Linked DNA regions of Drosophila melanogaster. The protein of the gene in region 1 purifies or fractionates together with the protein of each later gene. This does not show direct contact. Each region holds a gene or a part of one and is shown on either strand. Other genes may lie near its edges. The genes, in order: Haspin and pds5.

Region 1 (10,911 bases):
CCAAGGTATGTTGTTTTTAAGGTATGTAACATGTGTAACATCCAATTTATGTGTAGAAAATTCTAACGTGTCCACTGTGTTTCGTGGAATATAACTAATTTTCTGACAATTTCTGACAAAAGTTTAAAACGTCAATTTATACCTTTAACTATTGTTAAACTATTGTCTTTGACGGTAAAGTAATATTTTTGCCGATTCTTGCTCGTTTTCTTAAAATTTGATTTTATATAGACATGTTCGAGTCCAGACATAGCGACCTCCTGTACAGTTGGAGGCGAAACAATCGGCTAATAAGTTATGTTTCAGATTACATTTCTTCCGCAATCAGCAATCAAAATCTGGAATGGAAAAAGACAGAAATGACTGAAAAAGTTGGCAAAAAAATATAAAATTTTGAATTATCATTAAAAGAAAACTGCCCGAGTGTAACAGACAACTAGACCGATTTATTCCAAACATAATAAGTGGATGGCGTCTGAGATAACAATTCTTGTTAGTGATTTTAAAAACTCCAAGACACCACAGAAAATGGTACGCCGAAACTTATCTTACAAAAATGCAGAAGAAAGATTAAAAATGAAGCTGGCATCCAGCATGGCAAGTGAAAGTAATCACGACACAAATCTTTTGATTCATGCAGCAACTGTTTTTGCTAGAAAAGAATGCTCGTTCCTCTTGAACGTTGCCTTTGTTCTTAAAGAAACTTTAAAAACACCAGAATTTCCAAGCGAATCGAGGATGCAAATTCAATGGCAAAAACCAACTCCTCTTTCACCAGATGAAGCTCGAACTTATCTTCTGGAAAACACGCGGACAAAACAGCAATATATAAGCACCAGGCTTTTAAATAAAAGCCATAACAGCGACATATATCCGCCCTATAATGAAGGGATCGAAGCAAAATTACAGTACAACAGAAATTTGAAACTGAAGACCTTGGCACACTAATTTCAGATCAATCTTTATTTGTAACTTCTGTTATACCCATGCAAATTATATATTCGTTTAATGGGCATATCTGGATAAACAGAGCACTGCAGTCCATTCGATTTTTCAGGCCTCTAAAAATTGAGTTGATAAAGGAAACTGCTGTCCAAATAATGATGGAAAAAATTAGTCCTAAACGTATTAACGGACACTAAATCTACTCAATGTTGTCTGATCTGTGAAGTCAGCCCAACACAAATGTTAAAAATTACAAAATTTAGTTCAGAAACCCTTGCACAAAAAGTAAAAGCTTTACAATTCGGGGTAAGTCCATTACGTGCTCGGATCCGGTTTTTGTGTTTTGTTTTTAACGTATCATACCGAGATAAACGTATCATGCCGAGATAAAAAGTGGCATTTAAAAGGAGAGGACAAGGTTAAAATAAGTATTCGAAAAAAATATAACCAGGACGAAATGTACATAGAAATGGGCCTTCGAGTAAGCATGCCGAAGCAGAATGACAGCGGCAAATTCTCGTCGGTTACCAGCTTCAACAAAAATCTTTTGGAAAAGTTTCACATTATTTTAATAGCAATATCATCCAACTTTTTTATAAATTCCGACAATTTCGTTCTCTTTGTGATATAACTTTTCAATTATATATGCAAACATGTCAATGGTATCCTATGTCACCAACGATCCATAAAGTACTGGTCCACGGAATTCAAATCAATATGCAAGGAAAAATAGTCGGTTCAATACGATGAGTGATATTTTCCACAGAGCGATTGATTCCTCGGACCCACTATTATCAACAATTTGTTTTAAAGAAAGAGAGAGAAAAAATGAAAAAAAAAACAGTTCCGAAGGCAGTAATAAGTTTTTTTGGAAATACAGTCTAAGTGCAGGTTCAATTAATTATTTGGCAAATTTGAATACTTTAAACTTACTGTCTTATTTTGATGCCAACTTTGGAGAAGCAATAAGTTTTACGGCACCTGAGCTGTGCAGCATTATCTTTAGTTATCTAAGCTCCCCTCTATCGAGAGCTCTTTCTATTTTACTCTTTCGGATCTACACTTGGCCTTCTGCTAAAGCAAAATCTCGTTCGCTACAGTCAATAAAACATATCGTTCGAAATCACATAATAAACCCTGTCTTTTAATTGCTCAAAAATAGCTAATAAAAAACATTTTAGCTCAACACTAACTAAGAAGTAAACTATTTCGGCTGATAAGCAGTTTACTTAAAGAAAATATAAAATATATAGTAAACATAGCATAAGGAAAATCTCATCTTATAGACGTAATCTTGAAACCCTGTTAAATTAAAATCATAGTACAAATTAATCTTTTGAAATCGTGAGAAATATAAATATATATAATATACATAATATACGTGTGGGAAAATGAAAAAGTCCTTTGTATATCTGTATTGTCATATTTCCAATATTTAACAAAATTTGAAAAAGTTTAATGTATCAATTGACTAGGCTATTATCTAATAATAATTCTTTGGGATGATATGTTCGGATATTACACGAATTATTTTTATTTAGCCCAGTGGAGGGTGAGTTAAGTCTTCCGATGGGCTGCTACTCGTTTCCCTGAAATGTCACTGCGGCTGGTGGAAACTACCTCCAGTGATAAGAGTTTCCCGACAATCAGATACCCGTTACTCAGCTAGTGATAGTGCGAACGGGATATTTCATAATTTTCTGCGATATCGATAAATTTAATGAGGATGGGGAATAAAATGAGAAAGGGCGTACAGCGTTAGAGGGGGCTAGGTAAACATTTTTGTGCAAATTGATCGAAATTTACATGACTAATAAAATTAATAGAAGGTATAAAAAAATTTTTCAAAAATGTGGAGTGGCAGTTTTGGGCTGTTTAGGGCGTTTGAGTGGGCGTGGCATTTTTTTATTTTATTTTTTTTATGCAAGTCGATAGGAATTATATACAAAAATACAAGAATAAAATAAATGTGAAGAAATATCAACACATTTTAAAAAAGTGTGGGCGAGAAAGTTTGGTGCGGTTTTTGTAGGCTTTGCATCATGGGTCAACAAACACGCGCAGCGTCTCTAGAATCTTTATGCTAAATCTCAACCTATTAGATCTTATAGTTCCTGAGATCTCGAGTTCATACGGACAGACGGACATGTCCAGATGGACTCGGCTATTGATCCTGTTCAAGAAGATATATACTTTATATAGTCGAAAATATATAGTCCTTCTGCCTGTGATATACTTCTCAACGAATCTAGTATACCCTTTTACTCTACGAGTAACGGTATATAAGCACTCGAAACTGATATATGAGATTACAAGTGCGCCCTTTACAAAACAGCTGCTAGTTGTGGTTACTAGCCTGAGACTTAAGACTTTGGCCTCATATCAAAAGCGACCTTAGCATTGCAGTATGCATATTACTGTGTACCTTTTTTTCTTGATTTAGCAAGAACTTGGAATAGAAAATGCAGTCTCTATACAAGCTGTGGGCCAAATTTACATGCAAGTTTTTGCATAAATAATTAAAATTAAATTAAATTAAATTAATTAAAAACTATTGAAAACTTTACTTGGAAAACGCTCTGTGAGCGGAGTAACAAATATTTAAGGTTAGCGTCGCTATTTTTTATACATGTCCATTTTTCTGGTACATATCTAGCTCAGGATCGAAGACAGTGAATGTAAAACACGTATCGTAACAGAAAAATGCAATCTAATCAAAAACTGTGGATCAAATTGTAATTAAAATTTTTGCAGAAATAATTAGTAAACTTAAATTAGTTAAGCTTAAGTCGTATAAAAATAGTTAGAACTTTTTTTTTTAAATACAACTACAAATTATAAGCAAATAAATAAACAACGTCACCGTGTTCCATATGCCATCGTCGCTAACTTCATTGACGTTAATGTGCTGCGCAACAGTTGTGCAATTAACCTATATAGTACTTATCGGTAAAAAGCAAGTTTTACATTATCGATTGCGGCTGTTATCGAACCATCAATCGTAATTCTTTAAAAATTGAAAATACATAGAGCATTTAATTTAATGCTCAGCATTAGCAAAACAAAAATGGATTTTTTAGAGGAAGGTAGATGGAAGGATCCGTTTGATGAACTTTTGGACTCCAGAACGTAAGAGCATACACATTTAATGAATTTGAATTGAAATAATAGATTTGCTTCTAGGAAACTAAGTAAAATGAACATAGTAAAACAAAATGTACGAGTAACCTATAACATTGACTCTAGTGTTGAAAATAGCAGCTATATAGAAATAAAAGAACCAAATCACAAAAACGAACCTTTAACTCTTGAAGATTGCTCTATAAAAGTGTATTGCCCCAGTGATTCTATATCAACTCCTTGCGATAAACGATTAGGAGGCACAACAGGATTATTTGAAACCGACCTCTCTCCAATTACTCGCTTAAAACTTGAAGGTGTGGAAGACAGTAGAGACAAATGCGCTGATACTAATGAGGCAGATTTATATGTAAATGTTGAAATTCTTTTTCAAAACATAAATTCCAGCCCTAAAAAATGTTCTAATTTTGGGAAAAAACGATTGAGTAATTTAAATAAGATGGTTACTGCTGTACACCCTTCGATTTCATTAAATCCGGGAAAATGGAGAAAATCGCTAAACAATTTTATCAGATCAAAAATAACCGAAACAAATTTCACGAAAAAGGTAGAACGTCGAAGCTCAATATGCCAGGATCGAAAATCATTAGTTTTGAAAGGCGAACATAAATTTGAGAATAAATATGAAGAAGATGTTCTTAAATATTGCCATCAGTGTACACCACTTCCGTTTAATACTGCATACGAACAACATAAATTATTGAATACTAAGAAGATTGGCGAAGGGGCTTATGGAGAAGTATTTCGTTGTTCGAGAAATCAAGAAGTACTGAAAGACCACATCTCTGATATTGTATTAAAGATTATACCTTTGGAGGGTTCCACTGTAATTAATGGAGAAAAGCAAAAAACATTCAGTCAAATTTTACCAGAAATAATTATAACTAAAAAAATGTGCAGCCTTCGAACAAGTAAAACTAATTCTACGAATGGATTTGTGAGCATACAAAAGGTAAGTTAAGTTAAGCTTAACTTAAAAAAAAGATTTAAGATCATACTCAAAAGCGAGTTCTAAACTAATTAACTGACTAAACGTGTTTTTAAAAGGTTTTCAATATCTCTTCAAATTAATATATTTTTATAGCTTAAGGCATTTTTAAGAAACTGTAGAAAATTGGTGATCGCATTTTATGAAATGTGCATTCGCTTGGATCTGTATCTGTGTAATGGCTAATTTGGCATTGGTTCGATGGTGGCGAAAGTAATGTAATCGTGTGGGTCAATCTGGTATGTCGAAATCGTAGGTCTTGTAAGAGTTGTTTGCTCGCTGTGCAGTTCTTCGTGTTGCTAGCTATTCTAATTTAGTTTTAATAAGTGTTGAAGTAGGAGATGGAAGTGTAGCTTATAAGTTGAGGCGTGAAAAGTGGAGAATTTGTAGCTATACCTGCTACATAGTCGAATTCATTTCGTGGAACGCCGTGGTGGCATTGATATCATCAAATGTATTATACCCTTTTACTCAGCGAGTTACGTGTATAATAATGACTTTACTATAATCTTTTTAAATTAATATGTATAAGGCACTGACGACATCCTTTAAAAGGGGACTGTAAGCAGTATCTTATACATCCTTATAATTAAGTTTATCATTATTTCAACTTAAAAATAAAATAAATTTGCGATTTAAAATTTTTTTTATATCTTTTGTAATTTAAAACATAAATTTTCAAAAAAGAAAATACATTTTAAAAAATATATTTCATAAAAATAATATAAACATACATAGTTAAAAACAATAAAGAATGCTATAGTCAAGTTCCGCGACTATCAGATACCCGTTACTTAGCTAGTATTCACACTAGCGAACGCGAAATTATTCTTTTTCTGTGATATCGATAGATATTGCGGAATAAAAAATTGTTAAAAGTGTGGGCGTGACCGGTTTGGCTGTGTTAGGGCTTTAGAGTGGGGGTGGCAAATTTTTTTTTTTTGCAAATCGATAGAAATTTAGAAAACTAATATAAATAAGAAAGAATATCAAAATATCAACGAGACTTGCGTCTCTAGAATCTGTATGCTAAATCTCAACCTTCTGGCTTTTATTGTTCCTGAGATCTGGACGCTCATTCGGACAGAGGGACATGGCTAGATCGACTCGGCTATTGGTCGTGATCAAGTATATATATACATCCTTTTCAACGTATGTATCTAGTATACCCTTCAACTCCACGAGTATCGGGTATAACAATAAAGAATGCCATAGTCAAAGACACTAGAAGAACAAGATGCGTAACGCCATACGATTTTTTGGCACACGATTTTTTCGCGGTGGCTCTAGAGGTGGCTCCAGGCTCTCTCGAATTTTTGTTAGAGAGCGAGAGAGCGAAGAGCGCTACAGCGAACAGCTCTTTTCTACGCATACAGTGATAGCAGACAACTTTATGTGTGCACACGTATGCTCATGCATTGTAAATTTGACAAAATATGCCCTTCACCTTAGAAGTTCTTAGACTTTAAGTCTGTATTATTTTTGATCAATTGGCACCATGCGAAAAATTCTTGTTTGCATTGCCTTAACGTTATTATTATTTGAAAATAGATTAGAAATAGCCAAATCTATGTACATACCATCACAAAATAAATTTCAAAAATGACTTAATATTAGAATATTTGTCATTAGAGTATTCAGCTTGCGGAGTGTGAAAAAATAATAAGGCAATGATTGTTGAGTGCTTGTGGCCGCACTTCGTGCCTCAAGATATGACCAAAACAAATTATTCTAGTGTCTTTGATGTGATTTTTGCAATAAACAGTTTTCATATTTTTATTTATTTTACAAATTTTTATTTTCTACTTCGTATTATTTTTATGAAATATTTATTTCTCAATGTTATGTCTTCTTTTTGGAAAATTTATATCTTAAATTACAGTAGTTATAATCATTTATATTTTACTTCCTTTAAATATTTAGTATATTTATTAAGTCATTTGACTTAATATGATTTATGTATGTTAATGATCCATTTTTATTATTTTTTTATAATTTTTTATTATTTTTATTATAAAAAATTGTCAGATGAGAGATAAATTAGAACTGAACATAAATATAGGATATAGGATAGATTTGGGATAGAGATTCCGCTGTAATTGCTTGAATCAAATTTTACCATTTTTATGAAGAAGAATCACAAGGAACCCCTTCCATATATGGGGGAACTGTGCAGATTACAGAGATAAGTTAAACGGTTTCAGTAAAGACTTGCTCAAGGCTTCCGCACAGAATCTGAGCACGCAACAAGGGATTCCGTCGGGACCTGGCATATAGACATTCATTCATAGCAGGGGAATGCCGAGAAACGAAAATTTGTTTCTTCAGTGGAACAACTGCGGGGGGTATCTTTGAGTTTGGACCCTTAGCTAGGTCATCACTGGTTCGGCCGCCAAAACCAGAGTGTACCATTTTATCAAAAATCATTTTTGGCTGCTCAGTTTTTATAACCAGCAAATATTTTGAAAGAAGAGAACATCAGTATTCAAAGTTTTTTTTTTTTAATTAAAACTTTTTAGAAAGCTATTAAAAGTACCGCAAAAGAAGAGTCCACACCCTTAGAACCTTAGATTTTGTGTGGGAGAGCTAGAGAGTGGGTGCACAGTGTAGTTTATGTGCAAGTTATCCAACCCTTAAATATAGCACTCCACCCCAGCTTATAAACAAATTGCAAATACCAATCTCAGCGGCATTTGCTTTGTCTTTGTTTTTGTCATTGTCTTTGCCAGCACTAAGCTACCCAATAAGATAAATATCCAAACTTAAAGTAAACACAGCTACCGCTTGGAGACCAAGCCATGATCAACTTATTGCGCTTCAATCAAACTATATCAGTCTAATTTCAACTCCGCAAAATAATTTCAGTATGAAGCTTTTATTCTAAACATAAATGAAAGTTCAAGAAGTTTTTTAAGAAAAGCTTCTGGCCTATTCAAGACATAATTAAAAGTTAAAGAAGTTTTCAAAAGAAAAGCTTCTGGCCGAGGTTTTTTGGATTAGGAGTAAGAATTATAAGATCGGGACCAGATCGATAACCATTATCGTTATTCCAATTACGGATAAAAAAAAAAAAAAAAAAAAAAAACAGTGTCGTGTAATAGTGTCAGTGAAAAGGTTTATCAACAAAAAATATAAAATTATATTAAACTAAAAATTATTTTTCTAAGTAATTAAACAATAAATATTTTAATTTGCATACAAAAACTACTTTCGCAGTGCTGCGAAAGAGAGAGAAAACAAAAAACAAAGACAGAGAAGCAAAAGTTCATTTGTTTAAACTAGTGCATAAATCAAAAGATCCAAATTTATTGGATCTTCTCTTTTTGTGAGACTAACAATAATTATTCAAATCTTATTATATAACTTATATTAATTACAATATGAAGTAATTGTATTAGTTGGAAACGGCCCTAGGATTTCTTTGCTGGGCTGAAGAATCTTTGCGCTTCAGTCGGCTCTGACTGTAGACTCGCGTAAGCGACTTCGCGAGAGGATTTTCGTGTGCGGCGAGCTTTGCTTGATGTTTACTTTTCTTCATCTGAATTTCCTCATTGACAAGATTTATGTGGAGGTCTCTATGGATGCTTTCGCTGCGTAGGTACCATGGTGCCCCAGTGATAGTTCGCAGAATCGTGGACTGAGCTCGCTTTATGATTTCAATGTTGGTTTTTGAAGCGTTTCCCCATAGTTCACAGCCGTATGTCCAGATGGGTTTCAGCACGGTATTGTAGAGGAGTACTTTGTATTCCAGACTAAGGGGAGAGTTGTAATTAATAAGCCAGTGAAGATTGGCTGCTTTAAGCTTCATATGAGTCCTCTTAGATTCTATATTTCGCCGCCAGGTGAGGCGTCTATCTAGGTGAACGCCGAGATATGTTACTACGTCTGCTTGTGGGATAAATGTATTGTTCAGGGTACAGGGTGGGCAGGTTTGTCTGTTCAGTGTGAAGGTTACATGTCTGCTTTTGGTCTCGTTTATCTTAATGCGCCAGTCCGCAAACCATCTTTCCACTATTTTAAGATGGCAGGCAAAGTTGCTCTGTTGCCTTTGCTGGGCATCTAGATCGGCTAAGTATTGCGGTATCGTCAGCAAACGTAGAGGTTGTGAGCTGATAGTTTGTAGGCATGTCTGCTGTGAATAGGGTGTAAAAAACGGGGCACCTGGTTGAGAACACTCTTTTGAAGAGATAAGATTCGAACACTTGCGTGCGTGTTCTGGGGAAGCAGTTTTGTTATCTTGTACATTAGTCCTTCCAGCCAGACTCGGTCAAATGCTTGTGCAACATCTAAGAATATAGCTGAACAGTATTCCCGGAGCTCAGAAGCGGTACGAATTTCGTTTGTGATGCGATTGACCTGTTCGATCGTTCCGTGATTTTTGCGAAAGCCAAACTGCTGCGATGGTATTGTATTTCGCCTTTTCAAGGAGGGAGTTAGTTGTTTTAAAAATGCCTTTTCAAACAGTTTCGAGAGACACGTTAGGAGACTGATTGGTCTGTAGGATGAGGGTTGCGTTTTGTCTTTGCCTGGCTTGGGAATCATTACTATAACCGCCTTTTTCCACCTTTGGGGATAGTATCCAAGTTTCGTAATAGCGTTGAAGAGATAGCATAAGGTCAGAATCGCACACGGTGGGAGTTCTATGATCATTTTTGGTGTCACCAGGTGATTTTTTGGGCTTAAGATCTTTTATGATAGATGCTATCTCACTTTGGCTGAATGTTACTGGATTTATAGGGGGCAAGCTTTTAGTTACTACAGGGAGGACAAATGAGTTGCTAGCAGGATTTGGTTGGAATACTTTCTGAAGGTGATCGGCGAACGCATTAGCTCTATCTTCGTCGCTGCGTATCCAGCTTCCAGAAGACCTCGCAGTGGAACGACTGTTTCTGCCGGTGGCTGTATGTGTGCTTTCCACAAAGGGTTCCTTTTGCTGGTGGGCGATAGTTGTTTGATATATAGATGCTGGGCGTTGGTTTCCTCAAGCTTAAGTGCCCTGGTTAGTTTACGTGTTGCTATTTTTAGATGTTCTTTAGCCGTTGGGGATCTATGATTCTGCCATTCTCTTCTTAGTCTTCGTTTTTCAAGTACTAGCTGTTCGATTTCACGATTTGTCTTGCTATGATTTGTCATTTTGTGTGTGTCTGGAGGTGTAGAGGCCTTGGCTGCAGCAACAAGTGTTTCCTCTATCGATTTGACCAGGCGATCAACATCCTCGTCGGTGAATACTGTTTGAGTTGGTTCCATGTGAGTACAAACATATTTCGCGTACCTTGCCCAGTTGGTCCTGTTGCCTGTCAGCCTGTAGGGCCGCTCAGTTATATGTGGTCGGTGCCAGAGAGTAAGTAGAACTGGATCAGATGATAGTTCTGCAAGTGACTCGGCCGTAATATTATTTCTTGGAATCTTTCTTGTTATTGCGAAGTCAATGAGATCCGGTAGCTTATTTGGATCTGCTGGCCAGTATGTAGGCCTACCCGGAGTCACATGATCGAGCATGTTTCGCGGCTTAATGAGCGCGTTGTAAAGTTGTTTGCCCTTTGGGGTCAAAAGACGTGATCCCCAGTGCGTATGCTTGGCATTGTAGTCACCGGCCGCTATGAATCGCTCACCGAGTGAGTTGAAAAATTCCAAGAATTGGTCCTCAGAAACTACAAAACGAGGCGGGCAGTAGACTGCGACCAGAGTGACGGGGCCGCTGCTGGATTGCATGCTTATGGAAGTGGATTGCAGGTAGTCCATTTCAGTTCTGTTATAAAGGTGGTGTTTGATGCGACTTCTGATAAGTATACCAGTGCCCCCATGGGCTTTGCCGTCCGGATGGTTTGTGGCGTAGA
Region 2 (13,884 bases), 8.0 Mb from region 1:
AAATTTAACTAGGGTAAACAAACCTACCCATGTACTCCAAAGCCCTTTGCTGTGTGAAGACCTTCAGGTTGTAGGCGTCTATTAGAGAGGCACCGAATCTATTCTGCGATTTGCTGTCAATGCCAATTAGCGATTGAATTTCCTGATCGGAAACTACGCCCAGAGCTTTAAAGATCACCACAATGGGTATGTCGTCCGTCATCGAGTTGTGCTTGAGGTAGTACTTTCCATGCTTGCTCAACACCAAAGTACGTGACTTCTTTTCGTGTGTGGAGGAGGTAACCTGGCATTGCACCACACCGTTGAAGTCCTCGGTGAGCATCTTGTTCCATGACAGCTGCTCCTGAATGAGGATAACCTTCTCCTGACCTCGCACCACAAAGTAGCCGCCAGGATCTAGTGGACACTCATTCAGTTTGGACAGCTCGAACTCCGACTTGCCGGTAAGGGCGCAATTGGAGCAGCGCAGCATGAGGGGCATCCTTCCGATGAGCAAATTATTCCGCTTGATCCGCTGGGTTCCCCTCGTGTACTCGATGTCCACGGTGATGGGGGCGGAGTACGTGGTGTCCCTCAGACGGCATTCGTGCGGTGTGGTCGCTTTGGTGATGTTGAAGCCATCGTCGATGTCCGGCTTGCCCACCCGCACATCCAAGTACTTTAGGTAAAACAAAGGATCAGCTCCACTGGTAACCAGCTCGTTAGCCTTCACAATCTTTTTTATGTCCACGTTGATGAAGTGATTGAAGGAATCAATGTGCTGCTTCACTAATCCTTTTACTTGCAAGAATGCCGGCACCAATTTCCACTTCTCCGTTAGCGGCTTAATGGGCACCGACCAGTCCTTGCTGTCGCCGGGATCCCAGGTGGTGGCCTCCACGTTGTGATCGCCCATCTTTAGCTCCACCATTTCGTTATAATAATTTAATTTAAGTTTGTCAACAAAACAGCGTGCTATGAGGTTCTTCGATATGCGGTTTCTTTACCTATCGGTTATCGATATACTTGGGCAAGTGATAGCAAAGTTATTCCCATAGAGCTGGCAGTGAAATTAATTCCCGCTAAATCTAGCTTTAATTTATTTAAATTACCTCTGTGCGCGCCAATTAAAAAATTTGATAAAATAAAAATTAGAGGGTTTTCTTAAACTTAAGCCGCCTTAAATCCACGCACACATAAAGCACATTCGTTTTTTATTTTCGAATAAAAAATGCCATCAAGTAATCAAAGTGTTATCGTTGCACAGAGTCTAAACCTTCTTCACAATCTGGACCACATCCTCGTCGTTGAGAACGTGTTCGATGCCCACCTTCTGTGGCTGATGCTTCACAGATGAGCCCCAAACCAGCGCACTACGAAGGAAATACATAAATGTTATTATAACCAAGGGAACAGAGGGAAAGTGAAGCGCACTCACTATTTAAATTCCTTGGCAATGGAGCGATGCAGCTTGTTGCAGAAATCCTCAATGCTGGTGCGCTCGTTGTGGAGTACCACGGGCGAGTTGTAATCGGGCAGCTGGCCCTTGGGCTTGGTGTAGATGCGCTGCAGTCGCAGGTATTCCCACATCAGCTCCAGCAGATCGTCAAAGTTCCAGTGGTGATGGGCCGAGATGGGCACGCAATGCGGGATCTTGTAGATGACGTCCAGCTCCTCGATGGAGATCTGATCGATCTTGTTCAGCAGATATATGCAGGGTATGTAGATGCGGTTGCCCTCGATAACGTCAATGAGGTCGTCACTAGTGGCGTCGTATCTCAGGGTGATGTCCGCATTGTGGATCTTGTACTCGGATAGAATGGTCTTCACCAGATCCGTGTCCAACTCGGACTGCGGAACCATGCTGTTCAGATTGATGCCACCCTTGTCCTTCCGCTTGTAGTAGATATTTGGTGGTTTCTTGTTAAGCCGGATGCCGAAGCCCTCCAATTCATGCTCGAGGAGTTTCTTGTGGCCAAGCGGTTTCAGGCAATCCAGCACCATGAAAATGAGGTTACAGGTGCGAGCGACAGCAATCACCTGACGACCTCGACCCTTGCCATCCTTAGCGCCCTCAATGATACCGGGCAAGTCCAGCAGCTGGATCTTAGCGCCCTTGTACTTAATGCATCCCGGCACAGTGGTCAACGTTGTGAATTCGTATGCCGCCACCTCGGAGTAAACGCCAGCCAAGTTGGAGAGCAGTGTGGATTTACCCACAGAAGGAAACCCTACGAATCCCACCCGGGCATCTCCAGTCTTGGCCACCTCGAAGCCAGCTGGAAATACATAATGTTTAGTGATTGCCTGAATTATATATCCAAGAGCCTACCTTCGCCGGTTCCGCCGCCGCCTCCTTTGGGGGAAATCAGTTCGCGTCGCAGCTTAGCCAGCTTCGCCTTCAGTAGACCCAAATGGGCCGAGGTGGCCTTGTTCTTTTGGGTTCGGGCCATCTAGGATTCAGTTGAGAAGGTGGTCCAACAACCCGGTGATTTAGATAGAATCCAGGGGGGAATCCGCGGGGTAAATGGATGCGAGACAGGTTAGTTTCTGTAAGATCGGCAGGTACTCCAAGTTCCACTCACCTCCGACTCGATGGCCGAGATTTTCTCCAATATTGTGCTCATGGCTGGCTGAGAGTTAAACGCGGTTCACAGAAAACCCCAGTTATCAACAAATATGCATGTAAAAATAAAATATATAAAACTCTCGCGTGGACAGTTGGAGGTGCAATCGATATGTATTCGATACAATCGATTTGTTCAGTAATGTGGTCGATTCCCAACGTTAGCCAACACTTAACGAATCGTAAAAGTATTCTTAGACAAAATTAAAATGGTCAGGCTGATTGGAATATAGCCGTTACAATTTGATGGCTGCAAGAATGTTTGCTAAAGGTTAAGTTCCGCAATTAAATACTGAGAACTATTTATAAATTAACAAAAAATTAACATTGTTTCAGTTAAACCGCGCACCCCTCTGGGTAACAACCAAGCTCAATTTAAGAGCCAACTGACCAACAACGTCTCGCAATTGAATCGCAGTTTTCCAACGGCCGCTGAACTTTTGCGCAAAAATAGCACCCAATTGCGGCAAACAAAACTAACTGTCTGTCGTAAGGATAATAAGCTAATATACGATGGATTCGTGGAGGAAGCTGTGAAAGTTCAGCCCAAAAAGGAGAACGTTCCATCACCGATTATTCTGGAAAAATCCAGTTGCGAAATGTCAGCCAAAAAGGAATCAGCGGAGTTGCCAAGCTCCCCGATGTTGAAGCCAGGACGAAACTTAATTAGTTTAATTGGTCGCGTGGATTTCTGCCTTAAAACTCAAAAAATGTATCCGGAAATTAATGCTATTTGGAATGTTTACGGTGGGTCTGAACTGAAATACATTCAAAATCAAATTACTATATACATTTTAAACAGAATGATTAATATCGCTAAATTTGGCAAGTTAAATCATTAATTATCGTTTTTCAGGAAAATTGCTACGGATCATTGTGGGAAAACGTGGAGAACACACCTTGCTCGTGCGAAACAAAGAATCGGGGCCCGTCCTTCAGGGAATTTACTACGATTTCGAAGGCGTTATGAGTACTTGGAGCCCAGGTAAAATGCAGGAAACTGATAACCATTACATAACCAAAGTTTTATTCATTAAAAGGCTGCTTTGTCCATCTCGTGGGCCAGTTTATTGGCGAAAATCGCTTGAAAACATTTAAGATTGACCAGGTAAGCGACATTGACTGGCAACAGCAATTTCTGCGCATTGAAAATGTTACCTCGTATATTTTATTGCAAAACACTATGCAAAAGTAATTTATTTTTTAAGGATACAGTTTTCTTGAGATTTTTAGGCCAGGCGATAGTGTACTTTTCACAAGGTATAAATATGCTAGCCTAAGCTTTTCGATCCTGGCCTCCAATCAACAGTGAAATGTTTCATTTTGTACTTTTGTAGTTTACAAATCATGAATAATTTATAGAGTTAGTAACTTATAATTAATATACCTAGGAAATAAGTTAGCTTCAAAATGCCCCCTGACGATTCTCTCCAGGAGCATTGCACAGTTTCAAGGACTACAACAAATACAAATTCCGAAGTGGGCGTATAAAGTCTAATACTGGTGAACTTATTGAACTAATTGGAAGGAAATGGGTATTCAGTTCTACGAGTACAAGTCGAAGTACATGAAGACCGTGACCAGAAATCCGCAGAACAGGGCGCACAAGTAGCCCAAGTGCATCGAGGCAGTCTTCTCCTCGCGGAAACTGCAAATTGAAGTAAAGACTCCATGTTATAATGAATAATTAAAGGTGATTTCCCCAGAGCTTACCGTTTCTTGGAACGCGGCGTAAAGGGCGAGGGGGGATTTACGCCGGGCACCGCGCTGTCCAAGTACACGATTCCGTACGCGAAAGCTGCCACTAGAAGGCCACACAGCAGGGGACTCAGCCTGGAGCCCAGCTGGTGCCTGGTGGCCCACACCAAGGTCTCGTTCCACCTACTCTGCACCTGGTGGCTCAGCACCTGGATGGAATCGCCCGTGATGTATGGCACTGCAAAGAGAACGCCCAAAGCTCGTTAGTATCTCATTTTGAGTGTCGTTCTATTGATTTCACTGTTATCAGTCCTAGCGTGATAAACACGTCAAAATGTTGGGTTTATAACTAGGGTGGTTCAAATTTATTAGTCAGATATGTACGCTATGAGGGAATCAAAGCAATTTGGCTAAATGGAAAGAATTAGTGGGCAAAGAAATTTGCAAAAATGTACAGAAACCCCATTCGTTACACCATAAATAGCAAGGTTGCGCTTTTTATAGATTTGGACCGATGGGAAAGATTGGAAATAAATATTCGTTTGTATTGGTTTAATTATTTCTTTTCTCGACAATGTATAAAATTTGTTTTCTGCTTATATCAAATTTATATGTTTGAATTATTTAACAAATAGTTGATTAAACATGTGTTTTTTCTTTGAGCTTTGTTAAACTTTATTAAATTTTTTGTCGCACTTTTTTTGGAGCCACCCTAATGCAAAACCTGCAGCAAATAAAGATTGCTATATCGTCAGAAATGTAAAATTCGTTATTTTCCTGGGCCTTCTAGCGGTACCTTCTAATGTTTATATTACATACATTAGAATATACATGTATGTGTCGCGTGACGAAAGCCCAGTGCTAAATACCGTTAAGCTAAGCGTAGATGAATAACTAATAGCCGCTGGGCAAACAATTAACTAACTAATGGCATTTTGCCTCAAAGATGAAGCAACTAATCACTCTTTGACGATTTTTCTAAGGTCTTCAGTACGTTTGTATGCAAATGAGACGGCTAATGCGCATCAAACAATTTGCCTTCCTTATATAGACGTTTTTTCGCTATTCGGCGGCTTATGCAGGGGGAACAAACACCACCGCTATGAGATCACACGAACTTCAACTATTTATAAACGCGAGAATATAAACAAAGTGCGAGTAAAGACGACGCAACCGACAATTGCAACCTTGAATTCCCACCCCCGCCACACCGGGGATATACAGAAATAAACAAATGGAAATCCAATAAACCCACAATATATTTACGTTTAGCCCCCAGCTTGGCACACTTACTCGTTAAGATGACGCTTTTGTAGCCAATGATAAGAGTCCCAAAGAGAAGGGCCACCTTTTTGATCAGCGGATCGAGGGCGGTCACCACTCCCACTCGCCCCTTTTCCGAGGGTTTAGCAACACCTACGTAGTGCTCAAGTTTCGGATGCGAGGTCTTCGGCGTGGAGGTGTAGATCCGTCCGTTCGGTTGCCCGTTTTTTTTACTTCTGACTGCCGTTGAGAAAATCCCATTGGTTTTGTTTTTCTCCTGCTGGCGATGCGTGACGTCACAGCCGACTTCGGCTGGTTCCACCTGCATTTCGTGGTTTTGCCGGCGTAAGCTTTGTTTGGAATTAGTTTTCGTTGTTCGAACTGCGCGGCAAAACAACAATCAGTGTCTATTTAACTCGACAATTGTTTGGTTTATTTCACAATAGCACAAAAACAACAAGAAAAACGTCACACCCCCGAAAAAAAACAACGCAGAAAATGCAATTGGAACTAGTGATGGGAGAGTTGATGTTGCACCGTGAACTATCGACGGCCTCTTATCGATAGTTCATTTGTTATCAATATTCAAATTAGTTTTAGCCCTCCTAAGAGCGACTTTGAAATTGAAAAGAAAAAAGTTAGAAACAAAAATTATATTTTAGCCATTTTTTAAACTTACTTTATATTAAAAAAGTACAACATTTTAATAATTTAAACTAAAAGCCCATTTTCGATATCCATTTTAACATTTAAATAATAATCATACGTTTATTTGTAATTTAAAAACCATAATAATTGTTTAATGTACATGTTTTATAGTTTAATGTGTGTATTCATTTTATTTTTATCTTTGTAGTTTTCTTTCCAATTCTTACGCTTTTAGGTTTTCTTTTTGAATGCATTTTGAATGCATACTTGTTGAATTTAACGAGACAATTGTATGTATTATGATGATGTTACATTAACTAAAAATTAACTGCGATCATAGAAAAGTTAATTTTAATTACTTAATAAGGCTCTGTTTACGTTTTCATTACTTTACTTCGTACTTTAACTTATGCGCGATATACTTTCCTTTTTTTATTCGATATACAATAGTCTAAGAATAATGGTAAAATCAATCAATAAATCAAACACTATAAAAGAACAGGATAAAACATTTTAAATGATAAATAATTACTTTTACAGAGTTGCGGTTAACAGATTTTTCGACACTTTTTTCGTTTTTCTTTTTTTGATGTTTGTGTTTTTGGTGTATCTCACAAAATTGATATAGTACATACTGAATGCGAAACTGAACAATCCGAATTCTGGGTGCTTAGTTGTGAGTTGCATGGTGTGGATAAAGGTAGTGTCGGTTTAACAACTATCGTGGTCTTTCCTACGTCTTAAATATTTAGTTAACTTAGGCGCCTAGACTAAACATAACTAAACTAACAAGTATGCGCTCTCTCCACCTCCAATCTGCGCCATCCCAGCCCCTATGATTTGGCTGAAGCGGCTCCTGCGCGCGTTCGTTTGGCCATGGGCTCCGTAGTGTCAGCCGCTCGTATGTTGTCGAACAGATTGTTCTCCTGAAATCAAATTTCACACACTAGTTAGATTCATTCTCAGTATTTTCCAAGGACCTCACTCACCTGCGGATTTTCATCATCCATGATTGACTGTTCCGCCGGTCTCTTTGGAGCCACTGCTGCTCGCGACGTTGTCATTGCTGTTGCGGCAGCTTTGCTCGTGGATTTGGCTCCCAGCGTATACACGTCCAGCGGTATATAGACGTCATTGTTTTGGAAATTCGCAACGGCAGGCTCTTTATAATACATTTCTGGCAAAGCCAGCGGCATGGAAAAGGTGCTCGTGTTGCCATCAAATGGACTGAACTTGGAGTCGATAATGTACATGGCAAGATCGCAGAGCGCCCACATTTTCTGATAACCGAAAAATATATGTATAAATATAATTTAGAAGGGAAAGCCTGGGAAAATGATTGAGTGACATACATAGTTGTCGCGCTTGTCCGACCCCAGACTGAACTCGCGATGCTTTATCAGCTGCAGCAGCTGCTTGTAGAAGCTATGGACAAACGTTTCTCGTTTGGCCATCAGCGGCTCCAGAATGAAACGCAGGCACTTCTCCATCTTGCGCAGCTGTACGTAGTCCTCGTGATTCGTGAAGCGTGGATCGTGGACCAGCACGGGAATAGCGAAAGCCAGCATGTAGTCAGGTAGTATGTGTAATGATTGTGACTCCGTTGAGCTGTCGGGAGCTGGAATAATTTGATTTAATGGTTAAAATACACAATATGATTCCAAAAGTAAAACACCTACATGTCATAGCCACAGTCTTGAGATATTCCCGCCGTTTGTTTACATCCGTTTCTGCATAGTGACGCACAAGGTCTTGCAATCTGTTGAAAATATTTATCAATACTTCTCCGAACGGATCGGATGGTTTCTTGAACTACTCACTTCCTCTCAGTCTCTAGACCAGCCAGCACATACAAGCCCATGAAGTCCAGCGGCAAACAGTTCCTGGGCAAACTTCTGCTTAATCCTTTGTGCAGCTTGCGAGCAAAGATTTCCCGAACTTCTGGCACCGGATCAGCCTACGGGAACACCGAGATAGACATTGAGACTAAGTTCTAAGCACAAGATGAATGTCTCTACTCACCATCAGCTGGGAAAGCTGCAAATACTGCTCAGCGCTGTACTGATCACCTACGCCCTTTTGTTCGCACACTTTGAGCATGGCGCAGGCTGCCCCGAGGCGCAGCCAAGATTTCTCGGCACCGCAAAGACGGTTCTGGCCGAGCAAATCGCCTCGTTGGTTAACAAACGCCGCCAGCATTCGGAATGTTTTCTGGGCAGCGTGCTCATCGGTACGCAATCCCAAAAGCCACCTGGCCATAGCCTTGAGCGCATCCAGCTTACATAGAGTGTCCGGCGGTAGTTTCTCTTGGGCACACCAATCACTGTCCTCTGGCAGTTCGTAGTCTCGCTGCGCAGGAACTTCTTGGATAAGCAGCTCTTTGACAATTCGTCGCGCAATCATATTCTTAATGGGCGTTAGGAAGGCCTGTGGCATATTGTAGGCAATGTGACCCAAGGTCACAATCTTTGTGCGCTGATGCTCACAGTTTGGTGTCAGTTTTAGGCGAAGCGTCTCGATGATCTCGTTGAAAATAGGATGCACTGTTTGTGTAGTTGTGGACGCACTTCCAGCTCCACTTGTTGCTCCATCAGTGGAAGCCGACGACTGGCTGTTTACGAAAATACATCGCACCGCGTGCTTTGCTTGCTTGGGGGTTCCAATAAGTGCGAAGTCCTTGCACACCGGAGCCAGCTCGTCGAGAATAGCCGGTGTAGGGTCGTCAATGAGTGGCTGATAGCGCCCCAGATGAGTTAGTGTCTTTAGCACCAGTGGTGCAACATAATCCTGCTCGTAACTGAGCAGGGAAATTAAATGACGCAGCGAAGTATCGGTGAAGAAATGAGCCGAAAAGACGTATGAAAGCATCTGCAAGTATAAAGCAATCAAATGGATTTCTGTATCATAACTTAAATTATCTCTATACTCACGGCCAACAACTTGAGTCCGCGCTCGCCCGCTTCCTGAGCCGAAATTCCGATCTCTTCACACATGGACCCTTTCTCGATGCATTGTTCAATTAGGCTGAGCAAAAAGATTACCGGATTAAGTCTGGCAAAAGGGCACTTAAAAGCAATTTACCTAATAAGTACGCCAATAGACTCCTTGTCCACCATCACTGATGCCACGCGCTCAATCAGCATCTTAACTGTGTTGTAATACAGATTCGATTGGACGTGGGCGCCAAGCTTTTTCAGGAGAACTCCCATCGTGTCAGCACACTCCCGACAGCTTACGTCGCGTTTAAGGACAATGTTAATGCATCGTAGGAGCTGAGCATCTTTTCGCAGGTTGTTGCTAAACTGGGTTAGGTACTCTGCCGCTTTTAGGGGATCTGGAAGCAGTCTGAAGAAAAAAAAACACATCACTGGTTACAAACTATCAAAAGAAAACTTATTATAGAACCCACTTGGCAATGTTGGCCTGCTTGGCGCTGAGCTGACTAAGTACGCGCGGCGTGAACTCCTTAGAGTGGTGTAGCTTGATCCAATCACTGACCGTATTGCGTGTCTTCATTTGGTTCTTCTGCAGCTCGACGAAAGCCTTGGTGGCATTGGCATCGAGATCGCCTAGCAAATGATATAGCTTCTTCATGCGCTCTTCCGGAGCTAGTTTATAGGGAACCAGGCAGGTGATAAGTAGGCGTTCCACAAGCAGGCGGTCCTCCAAGCCCACTTTGTAGTATCCATGTAGTATCTTGTTCTTAATCCAGTCAACCCTGACCTTAAGGCCAGTGCTTAGATCGTTGGGTTCGCAAATTGCGCGCTTGTAGATGTAGGCCAGACCATTCATCGCATCCCTGCGAATTTTGTACTTCTTATCTAGCGTCCGCTCGCGCACAATTTCTAGTAGATCGGGCGCTTCGAGAACGAGGGTGAAGTCGCGCTTGGCAGTTTCCACAATAGCCATTACCACCTCGTGGCGGACCACTTCGTCAAGATCGTGATTTCGAAGCCGCAATTTCTCGGTGATATCGTGCTGAAGACTTGGGTGATTGAGCAGGAAGTGCATGGATGACTGAACACACTTGATGCGAACTGGTTCGGTGATGTCGCAGAAGCGCCCAAAGAAGATTTTCAACAGGTTGGGGTACTTTTTCGCTAGTTGCGAGTCCTTTTCGGAGAACATACGAGACAAGAGAGTGGTTGCCTCTGTAGTAACGAAAATATGTTTATTAATATGCAAATAGAGGTACATGCTGATAAATTACTCACTTAGCCTCTCAGCATCGTCCGTGGACAGCAGTTTGTTCTCCAGCTGAGGTAGCACTGAACACAACAAGCCTGCATTGATGCGGTTAAGCTCGTAAATGATATCATAGATTTTGTTTGTAATGGACAGTTTTGTGTTTGGCTTATCCATGACCAGAGCACGGTTAAAGAACTGTAGATCAGGGATTAGGTTGAATAACGTGGTGCACCAAAGATCAACGAAATATTACCATTTTGATGGTGGACTCGAGAGCATCGCCCGTTTTAGTGAGAAGTTGTTCTGTTAATTGGCAGGCAAACTTGTTGTTAGATTTGTACGGCTCTACGATGTTAATCAGAATGAGATCCAACAATTCCACCGACAGATTGTCGGCTTCTGTGATCAACGGGCTTAGCACATCTAGAAAAAAGTTAGTCACCTTGACACTGTGCTGGTCACTAGAAAATTATATAACATGTGATTATAAAGAGTTCGCAGGATAAAGGAAGAGCTCGACTTACTTGACAATCTTGAAGATGGTACTAAACAGGTCTTGGAAGATTTCTTGGCAGTCCTCCAGTTCGAAACACATATTAAAAGACTTGACAAAAGCAAGGTTCTCCAGCAGATAGAAGTAACGCTTGAAAGAGGGATCGCGCGGATCCTTCAGACCGTGCAGTTGCTTGATAAAAAACTTAAATATAGTTTTGATTTGATCTTGCTCTTTGTAGGGAGCCTCTGGCGCATAAACCCGCAGGACATCCGCCACGCAGCACGCGATTAAGAGCTGGACATCACGGGATGGATGTTGCATAAAGAAGTCGTCCAGCAGATGGAGGGCCAATGGTATGTATTGCTGGTAGAGATTGTCGTCCTGGTCCATGGTCTGCAGAACATTGGCGAGGGTCTGTAAAACAGAATCATTCTAAGTGAGAAGTTTTGCTAAGGGAACCAGGGGCAGGACTCACCTTGAGGCGCCTTATCAGCTCGTCTGTGCCCAAATCCTCGACCAGCGGCCGGCATCCGGTGGGGTACACTATGTCCGCCATCCTCACCGCCAATGGGAGCTACCTGCAAGCCAGGATTTCAAGGATTCAGTGGCAGGTGCAACAATTCCGTGCGACAGCAACAACAACGAATGCGACCCTCAAAATAACATTGAAAAAGTGGAGGAGGGTGGCATCACGAACACACAAGCACGAAGCTCCACACAAGCACACACACACATGGGCAGCAGCACCACAAGCACACAGAGTGGCCAATATTGTTTGGTTATTTCTTTTTCGCAAACAACAAATAGAGAGCGCCCAAATTGTAGCGCCCTTGCCACTGCAATTTACCCAATGTTTTATATTAAACTGCGGCGCAGTTTTTGGAACTCGGAATCTTACTTTTCACAACGGGCAGGAAGCGGCACAATTTTTTTGCAATTTTGCGAACCCCTGCTTTCGATGACCGCTTAGCGCGCGTCTCCTTCGAATCACTGCACTATGGATGGGATTGATCCTGTCCAGCTATTTACACATGTTCGGTTACAAGAGTCTTTTGCGGTGCTTATGTTGTTAAAAATAAGCAAAAACCAAGGAGCATTTATGTGGAGTGGCACGCCATTAATCCACGCACGAAGCGTTGCCAGAGGTTTTTTGGAAGTGTGGCCAGACTCTTCGCAGATTAGTACATGATTGCATTTCAGCTGATTAGCATTGACGTGTTGTTGGTGCTAGCGAGGAGAGCGGAAGGGGTCGTGTCACGAAATCGGATATATAATCGGAATGAAATCGGGATATAAATAACTTATTAAACTGTATTTATAAATTTACTTAAGAACAACATTTGAGTATCATGTTTGTTTTGCTTTGAGCATTCAGTTAGTGCTAATCACGCGCTCACCTCTAATTTTGTTTGTTGTGCTTGGCAAACAGCTGTAGCGTTGCCACATAGCCGTCGCGGCGCAAGAAGTGCAAACATAGGATAAAGATAATTGCACAATTATTGGCACCTGGAGCCGGCAAACGCTGTAACGGAATTGCCCGCGTTCAAAAGCCAATGGCGCGCATTGGCGAAACATCGGAGGAATGTGGTAATGGACGCAACACAACGTTCCGGCCGTTCTAGATGTTTTGCTTTCTAATCCAATTAAGCGTGTGCGCCCTGAAAGCGATGATGCGGGCCGGTTGTGGTCAGATGTGCGCCGTCCGTTGCAGCAGCTCTACATTCCCGAAAATATGAGCATTCTTACGTAAATATTGCATGGGCAGTGCGTATTTAAATATAGATTGTACATATAGAGACGCAATGTAAGCCAGTTGCATTTGCCAGAGGACAACCGAAAGTATTAATCAAGCAATCCAAACCGATGCGGCATAGCCGGGATTATGGCTTCCTTGCGCGTCGTCAATAGGTGGGTCATAGTTGACGTTACTTTTGTTAACCGAAACTATTTAATCCTTCCATAATCCCCGAAAGAAACAGATTAGTGTGCCGCGGTTTTGTGGCTCTTACGTTGCTGCTGGTCTTCTTCAACGAGTTTATAGTTTACTACATGGCCCAGTCCAGTTGGCAGCCAATCGATTGCAAACTAGGTAAGCCGTAACACAGTTTTTGAGTCGCATCATAACAAGCTATTTTTCCCACATAGATAATTGCACGCGCCTGCTGCTTATTGCTGATCCCCAGATACTGGGAAACTCCTACGATCGATCTTCGCACAGTCCTTTAGCCAGGTACGATTCGGATAGATACCTGGCGAAGACTTTCGAGCGAGCTCTTGCCTTTACACAGCCTCACATCATAGTGTTCCTGGGCGATCTGTTGGACGAAGGCAACATTGCCACGGCTCAAGAGTACAAGCAGTACGTTCAGCGGTTCAGACGAATTTATCAGAATAAGAACTACAAAAAAGTAAGGAGTACTGCTTTTGCTTCACCTTAAATTGTTGTTGCACCTATAATTATTTCAATTTAAAGTTTTTCCAAAGCGATTATACAACTTTGCGAATGGGATTGACCCCTTAAAACCTAACAGTTCCGCATGATCTCTGCCTTTTTTCAGCGCGTCCATGTGCCGGGTGACAATGATATTGGCGGCGAGAATGGCGACTACATATCCAACTCGAACCAAAGACGCTTTGAGAACGAATTCATGAGTGAAGACCTCTTTGACTATGACAATCGATTACGCTTCTTCAAGATAAACCGCATGCTATTGGACTTTAGCAACCCGGATAGGGATAACAATGCGGATCGTCTAAGAATTGGCGTATCCCATGCCCCGCTGCTCATTGGCGGAGGACCCCTGTTGAGAGCCATCATCAGCGACTTGGATCCACATATCATTTTCTCAGGACACTGGCATGAATCCAGAATATTTATTTACCCCTCCACCAAGGTGATCAACTTTTATGAAAACTCCGTGAGGCATTTTGACTTGAAGGCCCTCAAAGAGCAGGAGCACAGCTATCTGGAGATAATGGTGCCCAC

The links.
Region 2: the proteins of Haspin (region 1) and pds5 purify together in Drosophila melanogaster (affinity purification with western blotting, with the first as the bait; one study listed by BioGRID). This does not show direct contact.

What each region holds. Positions count from the first base shown.
Region 1 is NT_033778.4:4,010,177-4,021,087, forward strand, and holds the start of Haspin (haspin), read left to right. Parts: upstream 1-3,934; 5' UTR 3,935-3,988; coding exon 3,989-4,074; intron 4,075-4,128; coding exon 4,129-5,038; intron 5,039-10,911. UniProt on the Drosophila melanogaster protein: Serine/threonine-protein kinase that phosphorylates histone H3 at 'Thr-4' (H3T3ph) during mitosis and interphase.
Region 2 is NT_033778.4:12,026,145-12,040,028, reverse strand, and holds pds5 (precocious dissociation of sisters 5), read right to left. Parts: upstream 12,045-13,884; 5' UTR 11,797-12,044; intron 11,735-11,796; exon of another isoform or gene 11,477-11,734; 5' UTR 11,455-11,476; coding exon 11,374-11,454; intron 11,313-11,373; coding exon 10,927-11,312; intron 10,864-10,926; coding exon 10,656-10,863; intron 10,598-10,655; coding exon 10,429-10,597; intron 10,366-10,428; coding exon 9,624-10,365; intron 9,560-9,623; coding exon 9,296-9,559; intron 9,239-9,295; coding exon 9,145-9,238; intron 9,083-9,144; coding exon 8,237-9,082; intron 8,172-8,236; coding exon 8,035-8,171; intron 7,974-8,034; coding exon 7,894-7,973; intron 7,833-7,893; coding exon 7,567-7,832; intron 7,495-7,566; coding exon 7,204-7,494; intron 7,141-7,203; coding exon 7,048-7,140; 3' UTR 6,304-7,047; downstream 1-6,303. Other genes in the region: Polr3B (RNA polymerase III subunit B), read right to left, coding at 28-910; 128up (upstream of RpIII128), read right to left, coding at 1,250-1,352, 1,418-2,258, 2,312-2,432, 2,565-2,606; CG43191 (uncharacterized protein), read left to right, coding at 2,864-2,876, 2,942-3,352, 3,462-3,590, 3,646-3,800; CG8321 (uncharacterized protein), read right to left, coding at 4,151-4,253, 4,319-4,541, 5,597-5,894; Mppe (metallophosphoesterase), read left to right, coding at 12,781-12,806, 12,872-12,987, 13,044-13,306, 13,430-13,884.